3 linked regions of the Notamacropus eugenii genome follow. The protein of the gene in region 2 purifies or fractionates together with the protein of the main gene of each other region. This does not show direct contact. Links are inferred from orthologs where the notes say so. Each region holds a gene or a part of one and is shown on either strand. Other genes may lie near its edges. The genes, in order: ARID1B, BCL7A and PBRM1.

Region 1 (3,741 bases), on a different chromosome or scaffold from region 2:
AACTAAAGCTCGCCTACGGGTTGAGGGGTGTCTCGAGCCCTAGGAGAAGGCCCTGGTTTTTTCGAGTAGTTACCTGGGATCTGTTCATGGTCTGTCCAGTGTTTCCAGGGCTCATAGCTGGATGATTTCTTTGTTGTGCCGCTGCCCAGCCGGGGTTTGCAGTTCCATACTGGGAGCCCAGATCTTTGCCCATGCCCATGCCCGCCGCTGCCTGCTGGCTTCCTGGAGCTGCCCCCGCCGCTCCCTGCGCCTGGGACTGCTGCTGGCCTGGGGCATTAGGGTTGCCGCTGTAATCGGGGTAGCTGCTGCTGTAGCTCCTCATCATGGGGCTCGGGGAAGTCAGCAGCTGATTGAGGGTCGGCGTGGCCCCCGAAGGGTGCTGGTTCTGCCCGGCGAAGCGCTGAAAGCCTCCCGCGGCAGAACTGGCAGCGGCGGCGGCGGCGGCAGCCTTGCCCAGGCTAGCAGCCCCGCCGCCGCCGCCGCCGCCGCCTCCGCCGCCTCCTCCGCCGCCGCCGCCGCCTCCCGGGCCCATCATCATGCTGCTGCCCTGCTGCCGGGGGGAGCTCAGCACCCCGTAGCCCGAGGACGAGCCCCCATAGCCGCCGCCGCCGCCGCCTCCCGCTGCTGCTGCTGCTGCCGCCGCTGCGGCCGCCGCCGCCACTGCTCCTGCTCCCGCTCCTGCTCCTCCTCCTCCTCCTCCTACTCCACTACCTCCTCCTCCTCCTCCTCCTCCTCCTCCTCCTCCTCCTCCTCCTCCAGCACCGCCGCCGCCGCCGCCGCCACCTCCTCCTCCGCCTCCCGCGCCGGGCCGACCGTAGCCGGGATAATGGTTGTACTGGCTGTTGGGGTAGCCTTCGTGGGAGTTTTGCAAGGGGTCCATGCTGTTGGGGGGCCCGGCGGCGGCGACGGCCGGGTGCATCATCCCCATCCCGGGGCTTTGTTGTCCGCCATGTTGATCAAAGCAAGGCCCGGCTCGGCTGCCTGTGCCGCCGCTCGCAGGGGGAGCGCTGCCATAGTAATTATTAAACTCCGAGACCCCCACCGAGGCGGAGGGGCCGCCGCCGCCGCCGCTGCCGAGGCTACCATTGCCGCCGCCGCCGCCGCCGCTGCCGTTCCCGGTGCTTTGGGGCGGCTGCTGCTGCTGCTGCTGCTGCTGCTGTGGCTGCTGCTGCTGGTGCTGCTGCTGCGACGGCGGCGGCGGCGGCGGCTGCTGCTGCTGCGCGCCCAAAGCTCCCAGGCTGGGGTGCTCGTACCGGCCGCCCATCTGCTCCCCCATTTTGGTCGGGAGCTCTTCCTCCTCTCCCGCCTTGCTCAGCAGCTGCCGCGCTTGGGGCTCGGCCTGATTTCCCAAAACCCCGTCTTTGCCTCCTCCATGTTGCTGGGGCTCCATGTCCGGACTGGGCTGAGCAGCAGCCGCCGCCGCCGCCGCGACAGCAGCAGCAGCAGCAGCAGCGCCGCTGCCCCCCGCTCCGTGGCCGCTGCCCCCCGCTCCGTGGCCGCCGCCGCCGACCGCGACGAGGCTGTGGTTGTTGTTGGAGATGGGCTGCTGCTGCTGCTGCTGCTGCTGGAAGTGACTTAGCTGCTGCTGTAATGCGTGGTGGTGGTGGTGGAGGAGATGGTGAGGATGGTGGTGGTGGTGGTGGTGGTGGGCATGGTGGTGGTGCTGCTGGTGGTGGGGAGGTGCGGCGGGGGCATCGCCGACGTTTTTCAGTTTGTGGTTGGGGAGCAGCCCCGTCTCCATGGCCGGGGCGGACGAAGAGGAGGAGGCACCGGAGGAGGAGGAGGAGGAGGAGGAGAAGACCGCGGCGTTGCCACCTTCCTTGAGGGCCGCCTCGGACGAGCCGCCGCCGCCGCTGCTGCCGCCGCCGCCGCCGCTCTTCGTGTTATTATTACTGGCAGCCGCGGCGGCGGCGGCGGCGGCAGAGCTCGCGTTATTGGCCATGTTCAGTTCATTATGGTGGTGCAGGGGATGGGGAGCTACGTTATTCAAGCCGCCGCCGCCGGGCCCATCGCCGCCGACCCCTAGCATGGATCCCGGTCCCGCCGCTCCGGCTCCCCCCCGCGGGAGATCCTGGGTCAAGTGAGCCGGCCACGGACGCAGAGCGGGGCGCCCCGATCACTGTGCTCCGCACCCGCCGGGGCTGATGCTACTCGCGCGGCCATGATCATTGCAACATCGCGAGTCCAATGTGCCCCCCCGACCCCCCCCCACCCCCCCGAACAAAACAAAAATAAAACAAAAGAAAGGGGAGGGGGAGAGAGAGAGGGGAAGGGAGAAAACAAGGAAGACACTTTTTTAATAAACAGCCGCTCTCGGTCTCCAGTCCACATACCCCCAAAGAAAATAAAAACATCCCCCCTTTACCCTCCCCCTTCCCCCCCGCCCCAAGTCCTGGACCGAGATTAGAAACGATAATAATATCTTACGGTCTATGCCTGTTCTTGCTGTGGGATTTCATGTTGAAAGTTTTTAGCTGAGGTTTAAATGAAACTTTTTTTCTTTTCCTCTCTAACCCGGATATGGGTAAATACACGTCTGACTGAGCCTATCTGGCCCAGCATGGCATGAGAGAGAGCGGAGAGAGCCCGAACAACTATTATCCACTTCTCTCTGATTACCGCCGCGCACTCGCAAAACGCGGACTGGACTTCCCCCTCCCCCTCCGGCACGGTCCCCGGCGCTCCCCGCGGAGCTCCAGCTACCTTCTCCCGTCAGCTCGGGCGGCTCGAGCGGCGGCGCGCGGCGGAGACTCCCGGCGCAGGCACGGACGGGGCAGGCTTTCCGAGCGAGCTCCGCAGCCGCTCCTAACGCCACGGCGCGGGGCCGGAGGGGCCTGCACTCTCCCCTTCTGCATCTGTTTCCCTGCCAACTAGGCATTAATGTGTTTGTTTTCATGTTTAAAAGGAACGATACAAAGGTGGAAAACGGGTCTGACTGGCGGACAAAAGAAGGAGACGGATTGGGGAACAAAGTTGTCTGTCTGGCTCAAAGGTTACACCGCGCTGACTAAAAATAAAAATATTTGGGCAGTCGGGGGGGGGGGGGGAGCGTTAGCTATTTCAGAATTCATTATGTAATTTGCAGGCTGTTAACCCGTTATGCATTGGTCTGAAGTCAGGCAACATGATTGCTACAACTTTACTCAAGCTACGAAATAAGGTGGATTCGTGAATTTTCTGCAGGTTTGCAATGGGGTGCCGTATTTTTATTTTAGAAGAGCGTAGTATATACAGCTCCGTCCAAAACGGATAGTGCTGTGTATGCAGTAAGCGCTCAATAAATGTTTAATTACCAATGTCCACATCTGCCCCAAAGATTTTATTATTAACATAATCTTTGTTTATGGGTCATCTTAGTACATTTGTATGCAAAGCTATCAACAAAAAATAAAAGTTCCTTTCTTGTGCCCATGTGGGGACGTAGGCACACAAATACACGTGTAGGTTTATGTGCATTTCCATTTTACATGCATGTGTTTCCTTGTGTACGCATGTCACATCCGTGTTCCCCATGTGCATACGTATGTATGCATACATGCATGTGTTGTTTTCCGTATACACGGCTGTTTCCCTAGATATATGGGTTGTATGTGCACTCTTGTGTATATACACATGTATACATATATTATTTCCATAATACACATATTGCTGTTCACAAGAACAAACTCCCAAATCTGAAATAGTTTTAGAAAGAAATTTATTAGGTCGTATCTGTATTTCTCCTAGGCACTTTTTATCTCC
Region 2 (3,741 bases):
TTATGTCCCGCATCCCTGATGGAAGGCAGCCTGGGCCAGTGCCACCTCCTCTAATCTTTACCAGAGCATTTCACAGAACAATTCTGCCTCTCTGGAGACGCAGGGCTCTTCTCTCCCTTAACCTCTAACCCACTGGGGTTGGGTTTCTTCTTCCTCTCCATTGGCTGGTCCATCAAAGCAGGCACCACCTTTGTTTTTCTCCCACAGAATCTTTCAGTAGTGTTGTATAACCATTGAGGTTTTTGGATTGTGGAAATGCCACTATGGGTTTGCTATTGCAATAGAAGGAAATGGGGTGGTAGGCCTCACCTTTAGAAGTGAAGAGCCTTGATGAGATGGATACAGTGGAAGGGTAACTTTTTTGAAGGGTTGCTGCTGTGGAACTTTTAAGCCAAAGGATACACCAAACCAGATCTTCCGGAAAGGACCAGTACCAAGTACCAAGGTGCTGCAAATTTCCTGTCAGCCCTGAGTCCAGTTAAGATATAATTATGGACCTTGCTTGTCTAGAGCCCCCACATCCTCAGAGCTCAACTCAAAAACTCAAAACAATGGTCACTGCGGGGAGGAAAGGGTCCAGAGTAATGAGGCCCACTCCAAAAATCTTATCTGGTAACAAAAGCAAGGTGGAGGTGGGGAGCCAGCCTCAAAATCAGATCCCAAAAAGAAATTCTAAAAAACCAAAATGACAATCGGCCGGCCAGGAGATGATAAGAGCTCTAGCTTTGACCTCTGGATTAAGTCAAAGAAGAAAATAAACATTCCCCAAGCTGGCTGAATTCTAGGATGGGCACAAGGAACAGCCCCTCGGAGTTGAAGTGAGGTGGCTCCATCTGCCCTGGTGCAGGCAGCTGGGGAGTCCTGCTGGGCAGCTGAGAGCCTCATAAGCAACCAGCTGGAGCAGCTGTCAGGTCGCTGGGGCCCTCCACAAGGTCCTCCTCTGAATGGGGAGGGTAGGGGGCACAGGCGAGGTGACAAGAGAACAGGAGAGTAATGTGTCCACTCTATATTTGTAGGTTTGGATTCGAATGCAGTGAGAAAAGTGCTGGGCTCCGGGTGTCCCTGGTGACAGATAAAGGGACACGGAGAAAGTACACTTTTCTTAAGGGAAAACTTTCCCATCTGACCCAACCCATCATACAACAGAAGAAGGTTCTCGGATAAGTTTTTGGTTTTTGGTGGTTGGCGGATTTTTAAAAATCATTTTGTAGGGATGCATTTCCGGAATTTGGTAATCCCTTTAACACCAGGGTTGTGAGTCAGAATGGACTGGAACAGCCGAGCCTCACAAGCCGCTTCTCATGGTTCTGAATATTCTTTGTCCCCTGGTAAGCCAAATCAGCCCATTGTCCCGGCATCTAGCCACTCGGAGGCAACCCATTTCAATAGGAGGGCTGGGAGCACGTGGACGTTATTGATTTTTTTCCCCCTTTTTCTTTTTTTTATCCCGGTCGGATTTGGCTCAAGAGGGTAACTGCTAACTTCTGACAACCTACGAGGGAGCCCTGCTTCCAGTGCGACCTTAACAGGAGAGGGGACTTTACTTTAAAAAAAGCAACACTATGCCCTGAACTTGTCAGCCAAGCCTAAAGTTGTACGCATTCGTGTTTATATATAGGTCAAAACATCCTGAAACATTATAGAGCGGTCCAGCGAACTTCTGGGAACACTCCTCCCTCCCAGCCCACAGGCCAAGGGGGAGGGGGCTGGTAAGTGCATGGGAAAGCAAAGTTGAGACGAGGGGCACGCGGGTTAGAGTTCCACCCAGGTGGGCTCGGCCAAGCCCGCACACGCCGGCGTTAGGACAAGGTGGGCGCCCCCAGTCACTAGCGGACCACCGTCCCCCCCGGCTGGAGCCAAACCAGCCCAAGGTTAACAAGAAGCCAAGTTTCGATCAGAAGCCGAGTGCCTTCATCTCCGTGCACGAGGCGGCTGCCCCCCAATAAGAGCCGGCTGGGCTGTATTCACACCCCGCCCCGTTTCACAGCACCCCTCTTTTCCGGGGCAGAAGCAGCGCGCTCGGTGCCGGACCCGGCAGACGCTTCTCAGCGCCCGGGTCAATTACGAGGAAACTGACCAGCCTCGCTCCCGGCCGGAGGGGGTGGGGGTCGGCCCGGCCCCAGCGCGGCTCCCGGCTCCCGCTCGCTCGGCGGCCTCGGCAGACCGCGGGGCGCCGGCGGGGGAGGGGCGGGGGCCGCGGGAGGCGCACCCCCCAGCCCCCGGCGGCACAATGGAGCCCGGCAGCGCGGCGCATCCCGCCCGGGCCCCGCGGCGGCCGCACAAAAAGCAGCCTTCATGTGACTCGCGGAGAACGAAATGGCTTCTGGGTCCTGCCTGGGTTTCCCCTCCCCGCCGCCGCCGCCGCCGCCGCTGCCTCCGCCCCGGGGAGCGGCTCCGGGCTGCGGGCTGCGGGCTCGCGCACGGCCGGGCTCGGGGCCGCCGCCGCCGCCGCCGCGCCAGGTGGGGCGGGGAGCAGCCCGAGCCGCGGCGCGAGCGCACCTGGGGCAGCCGCTCGGCTCCGCTCCGGCTCGGCTCGGCTCCGGCGCGGGCGCCCCCTGGGCAGGTGACCCGGGCTCGGCCCCCTCCCACCGCCCCTCCCCGGCCCGGCCCGGCCCGGGCCCCCCCGGCGCACACACGCGCGCCGGCCCTCCGGGGGGGCCCGCCCCCCCTTACCATTTGCGCACTTTCTCGATGGCCGCCATGACCCTCTTGATATCATCTTTGGCCCGGCTCCTGGTCTCGGCTCGAACCGACCGGCCCGACATGGTGCTGGCTAGGCGAGCGAGGCTGCTGGAGCGCGCCCTGGCCCTGCTCGCTTTCCCCTCCCCGGCCGCGCACTCGCTCGCACGCACACACACACACACACACACACACACACGCATGCATCCACACACTCGCTCACACACTCGCACACATACACACACTCCCGCACGCACGCACACACTCGCACACACACACACATACAGACACACAAAGCCTGCTGCCGCCGCTCGCTCCGGGCCCAGTGCGCAGGCGCCCAGCGGCGGCAGGAGGGGCAGCCGCAGCAGCTCCGGGCCGGGGCGGCAGAGGCAGCAGCGAGCAGGGCCCGCGGCCCGGGCGGCCCGGACGGACGGCCCGGACGGCGGCGGCGGGGTCACGGCCGCGGGCCGGAGGCGGCCCGTGCGGCGCCAATAGATCCATCCATCCATAAGGGGGGTGACCCGCGGGCGGCCCTGCCACGGGCCCCCGCCCCTTCTGCGCCTCCAGATCGACCCCCCCCCGCGCCATCCTTCCCCCAAAGCGCCCCGAGCGAGCGCTGCGGCAGGCTCCGCTGCCGAGCCTCGGGGGCCGTCCCGGGGCCGCGGGGGCCCGGCTCGCTCGCTTCCCGGCCCGGGCTGGCCTGCGCTCCCCGGGCGCTGCTGCAAGTTTCCTGCGGGCCTCCCTACGTCCGCAGCCGGAAGGCTGCAAACTTCATTCTGGAAAAGTTACAGCTGTTTTCTCCCCTTTGTCTAAAAAGTAGGGCGAGAAAGGAAAAGAAGACGAATCCCTTCCCTCCCCCGCGTTGTCTTCGTGACTGGGGAACTCTGACCTGGCCACCCGTCCCAGATCCTTTACCTGCCTGTTTAAGTAGCTGCCTCACCTGGCCTGAGAATCCTGAGCCCTGAACCGAGCCGCGGGGCCAAGCGCTAGCGCCCCGGGCTCCTTCCCCGGGATCCCTGACTTTGCAGCGGACAAAGGGGAAGGGGCTGTTTGGACAGGTTT
Region 3 (3,741 bases), on a different chromosome or scaffold from region 2:
GCCCCCGCCCCCGCCTCACCTGCCCCCGCCCCCGCCTCACCTGCCCCCCCCCCCCCCCCCCCCCCCCCCCGCCTCAGCCTCACCTGCCCCTGCCCCCACCCCCGCCCCCGCCTCACCTGCTGCTTCCGGCGCGCAGCCTCGCGGAGCAGGGCCTCCTTGAACGGGGCGCTGCCGGGCACGCCGGGGTCCTTCCTGGGCCTTCGGGCACCCCCTTTCCGGGCCGCCTTCCGCGCTTTGCGGTGATGCTCCCGCACCTGTTTCAACAAGTCGTTGGGATGGGCTCGGAAATTCCCGAGGTCCCGCCTGCTCGGCGAAAGCAACTTAACGACCCGGACCGGGCCAGACCGGGCCGGACCGCCCCGCGCCGGGCACGTCCCAGGGTGATCAGTGCCCCCCGGAGCGGACCACGACACCCACCTTTCTCTGGATCTTAAACCGCTTACGGCACGTCATGCGCTTACTCGCTTTTCTTAATTCTGGGAACAAGACAATTCAGAGCCGGGTCAGAACCGGGCCGGTGCTCCCTCGTACCTCCGGGGCAAGGCCCAAGGCGTGACCTGACCGCGCGGCCCGGACCGTTCACTTCCCTGCCTTTCGGCCCCTCCGCGCCCGCAGACGAGAGCGTGGCGCGGGGGTGGCTCGATGCGGGCGCTGCCCGGCCTGGCGGGCCGACCACGCCGCAGGGCCCGAAAACCCACCGAGAAGGGGGAAGGGCGAACCCAAGGGGCGCCTCGGCCCAGCGCCGGAGCCCGCCCGCCAGGCCCGCCGGCCGGGGACGAGCGCTCCGGGGCCCCGAGGCTCGGCTCGGCTCGGCTCAGCTCAGCCCAGGCCGCCCCCGCCCCGCAGGCCGCCCGACCCCGCCTCGCAGGCCGCTCCCGCCCCGGCCGCCCCGGGCCCCGCAGGCCGCCCGCCCGGACCACGGACACTCACTAGGCCGCTTCATGGCGCTGAGGAGGAAGCCGCTCCGCGTCCGGCCGGCTCGCACACCACGTGCAGACTGAGGCGCCGCGCCGTCACGACGTGCAGACGCTGCCGTAAAGCGCGCCCGTGCCCCAGCGTCCGCCCCGCCCGCCCGCCCCGCCCCGCGCCAGAACCCGGCCGGGCTCGCGCTCGCGCCCCCGCGCCCTTCGCTCCCTCCGGCGCGGCCCTGCCCCCTCACCCCAGGGCGCGCGCACGCGCACGGTCGCGCGGGGCCGGTCTCGCTTGGCGGCCGTGCGGCTGGCTTTGCGGCGGCGGCGGCGGCGGCACCAGGAGGGAGTCGGAGCCGAGCCGAGAGGGTCTGAGAGCAGGAGCGGGCCGAGCAGCGGCAGCGCCAGCCTAGCCGTGGCGGCCACGGGACGGGGCGCGGCGCCGGCGGTCGGGGACCGCGGCAGGGGCTGCAGGCGGCGGAGCAGCTGGGTAAGGCCGGGGCTCCGGGGAAGCGGCGGCCGCCGAGGAGGCCGCGGCCGCCCGGACGGGCCCCTTTGTGTGGCGGCCCCGGGGACGGGGAGCCCGGCCGAAGCCGGGGGGCCGCCCGCCGCCGCCCGCTCCCCCGGCCCTGCGAGGCGCCCCGCCGAGGACAGGGCCCCCCTCCCCCACCCCCGCCGGGTTCGGGGTCCCCCTCTTCGGGAGGGCCCCCTTCCCGCCTTCCCCCGAGATTCCTGAGTTTCCTAACTCTTCCCGACGCCCCCCTCTCGGGCTCCGGCGCCTCCAGCTTCTGGTTCTGTGAAATGGGGACGAGTCCCGCCCGGCCGGGCCCTCGGGGCCCCGGCGCTCCGGATGTCACCGGGGGGATCCCGGGGCTGGGGAGCCCCCCGCCCCCCCGGACCCGGCCGGACCGAGGCAGCTCAAATGGTGCGAAAGTTGAGAGTTCCAAAGAGCCCGCCACCGGCGGCGGAGACTCCCCCCTGCTGAGCGGCTGGGCCGGGCTGGGGTCTGGGCGGGGGGCGCCTCCCGCGTCCCGTGTCCCCCCAGCTCTGCTTCCCGGCGGGGGACCCTCCTGCGGCATCCCCAGAAATGAGCTGCTCCGTCCTCTCCCCAGAATGCTTTAAGGGGAAGGGCCGGCTCCGTGCTGGGAGCGTCCGGGAGGGCGCCCGGGATTTGAACCCAGAGCTTCCCGCGCGGCGGGGTCTGGTGAAAGATGTTGGAAGGAGGGGCGCTGCGGGGGGACGGGGGGACTCGAGAGGTGCGGGACGGTGAGGGGCCTCCATCTGCGGGGTCCAGGCCTCGTCCCGGTCCAGCTTGGTGCCCCGCGCTGCACCGGGGCCTGGGCCCCCGGGGGGCAGGTTGTCTTGCGTGGGTCCCCTTGGGAATCCCGCGGGCTGACTCCGCAGGGTGTCGGCGCGATCTTGAGGTTCGTTTTGTGAAGAAAGTGCTTGTGTGCGGAGGGGTGCGCGGTGTGTGCGGAGGGGCTCTGAGGGGTCTAAAGTAGAGCTGCTGCCTCTGAGGGGGCTGCGGTGGTGGGAGCGGTGCAGGCGAGTGCGAGAGTGCCCAGGCTGCTGGGCCGCCCCGGGCTCTCTGCCCCGGGCTCCGGCCCCCGCCCCGGGCTCGCTGCCCCGGGCCCCTGCCCCCTGCCCCCCGCCCCGGGCTCGCTGCTCCGGGCCCCGGCCCCCGCCCCGGGCTCGCTGCCCCCGCCCCGGGCTCGCTGCCCCGGCCCCTGCCCCCTGCCCCCTGCCCCCCGCCCCGGGCTCGCTGCCCCCTGCCCCTGCCCCCGCCCCGGCCCCCGCCCCGGGGTGCCCGGCCCTCAGGCAGGCGGCACCCCGCTTCCCTCTTAGCCCCCAAGTTCCTGGCCGCGGCCCGGGCTTTTTGGACGTCCAGAACCGAGCTCCAGAAACTGCCCTTTGGCACCGTGGGAACAGCACCCGCGAAGGGTTCCACATTTTCTTAAGCTGCATAAGTAAATAGCCACTTTTTAAACAAGAAACGTACTTTTTCGTGGACACTCCTGGTTTTTGAAGGTGCCTACAGAAAGTACTCTCAGAAAGTAGAAGTTTGGAGGTTGTCCTCAAGTGGCTTTCCCCCCGTATTTTAAAACTTAGGCCTCAAGTCATATTTTCTATAGACTTACCTAGTTATGTCCTAAAAACCGTAGCCGGACAGTTGGTTAAAGAAACGAAGTTGATCCAAGCACCTCTCGGTGACTGAAGATTTCTCGTTACTCTGTGAAGAAACCTTTTGGCAGGAATCGGTTCCCTAGGTGTTAACTAGTGTTCCTTTGTGCAGCTCTCCGTGGCATCCCTCTTCAGCAGTTCTGCTTCAGTGCTTGCTGTCTGTTCTCGCTCCTTTTACTTCCTCTGACCCTTCCTTTTTATTTTCCCTTTTCTGTCTGTTCTTTTTCAGTTCTGAGCCTAGTAACAGCTCTGCCGACTCAGCGCTTGTAAAGCTCTGCCTTCTCCCACTAGCTTGCCCTGGCCTTCAGACACAATGAGGAGACTGGCTTTTCGAGGCGCTGGTTGTACTCTGGTAAATCTGGTAAATCTCTGGTCCTTTACCCACCCGCTTCCTTTCTCCTGTCTTCCCCTGCTCGCCCTTCACTGCTGGCTTTGGGCCGACCCTTTAAGGAGCCCTTTCTTCTCTTCATCGGACTCCTGGGATTGCTGTTTTTGGATTGCATCAAGAGTATTTCATTATTTTTATGATATATTGAAAGTTTATCCGATTTTTTTAAACTTCATATTCCTGACCTATTTATATGAAATACCTTTTACCCCATTTAAACATTCCACACCTAACCGTAGACCTGTTTATACAGGAACCAGTACT

What was found.
Region 1: the proteins of BCL7A (region 2) and ARID1B purify together in Homo sapiens (affinity purification with mass spectrometry; 4 studies listed by BioGRID and IntAct, counting the BioPlex papers as one, with this or other methods). This does not show direct contact. The link is inferred for Notamacropus eugenii from reciprocal best matches to the Homo sapiens genes BCL7A and ARID1B.
Region 3: the proteins of BCL7A (region 2) and PBRM1 purify together in Homo sapiens (affinity purification with mass spectrometry; 3 studies listed by BioGRID and IntAct, counting the BioPlex papers as one, with this or other methods). This does not show direct contact. The link is inferred for Notamacropus eugenii from reciprocal best matches to the Homo sapiens genes BCL7A and PBRM1.

What each region holds. Positions count from the first base shown.
Region 1 is NC_092873.1:250,123,435-250,127,175, reverse strand, and holds the start of ARID1B (AT-rich interactive domain-containing protein 1B), read right to left. Parts: upstream 2,680-3,741; 5' UTR 2,428-2,679; intron 2,148-2,427; 5' UTR 2,030-2,147; coding exon 74-2,029; intron 1-73. UniProt on the Homo sapiens protein: Involved in transcriptional activation and repression of select genes by chromatin remodeling (alteration of DNA-nucleosome topology).
Region 2 is NC_092875.1:37,251,026-37,254,766, reverse strand, and holds the start of BCL7A (B-cell CLL/lymphoma 7 protein family member A), read right to left. Parts: upstream 3,023-3,741; 5' UTR 2,883-3,022; coding exon 2,674-2,882; intron 1-2,673.
Region 3 is NC_092872.1:1,729,963-1,733,703, forward strand, and holds the start of PBRM1 (protein polybromo-1), read left to right. Parts: upstream 1-1,227; 5' UTR 1,228-1,398; intron 1,399-3,318; 5' UTR 3,319-3,402; coding exon 3,403-3,450; intron 3,451-3,741. Other genes in the region: GNL3 (guanine nucleotide-binding protein-like 3), read right to left, coding at 117-254, 418-476, 931-943. UniProt on the Homo sapiens protein: Involved in transcriptional activation and repression of select genes by chromatin remodeling (alteration of DNA-nucleosome topology). Required for the stability of the SWI/SNF chromatin remodeling complex SWI/SNF-B (PBAF).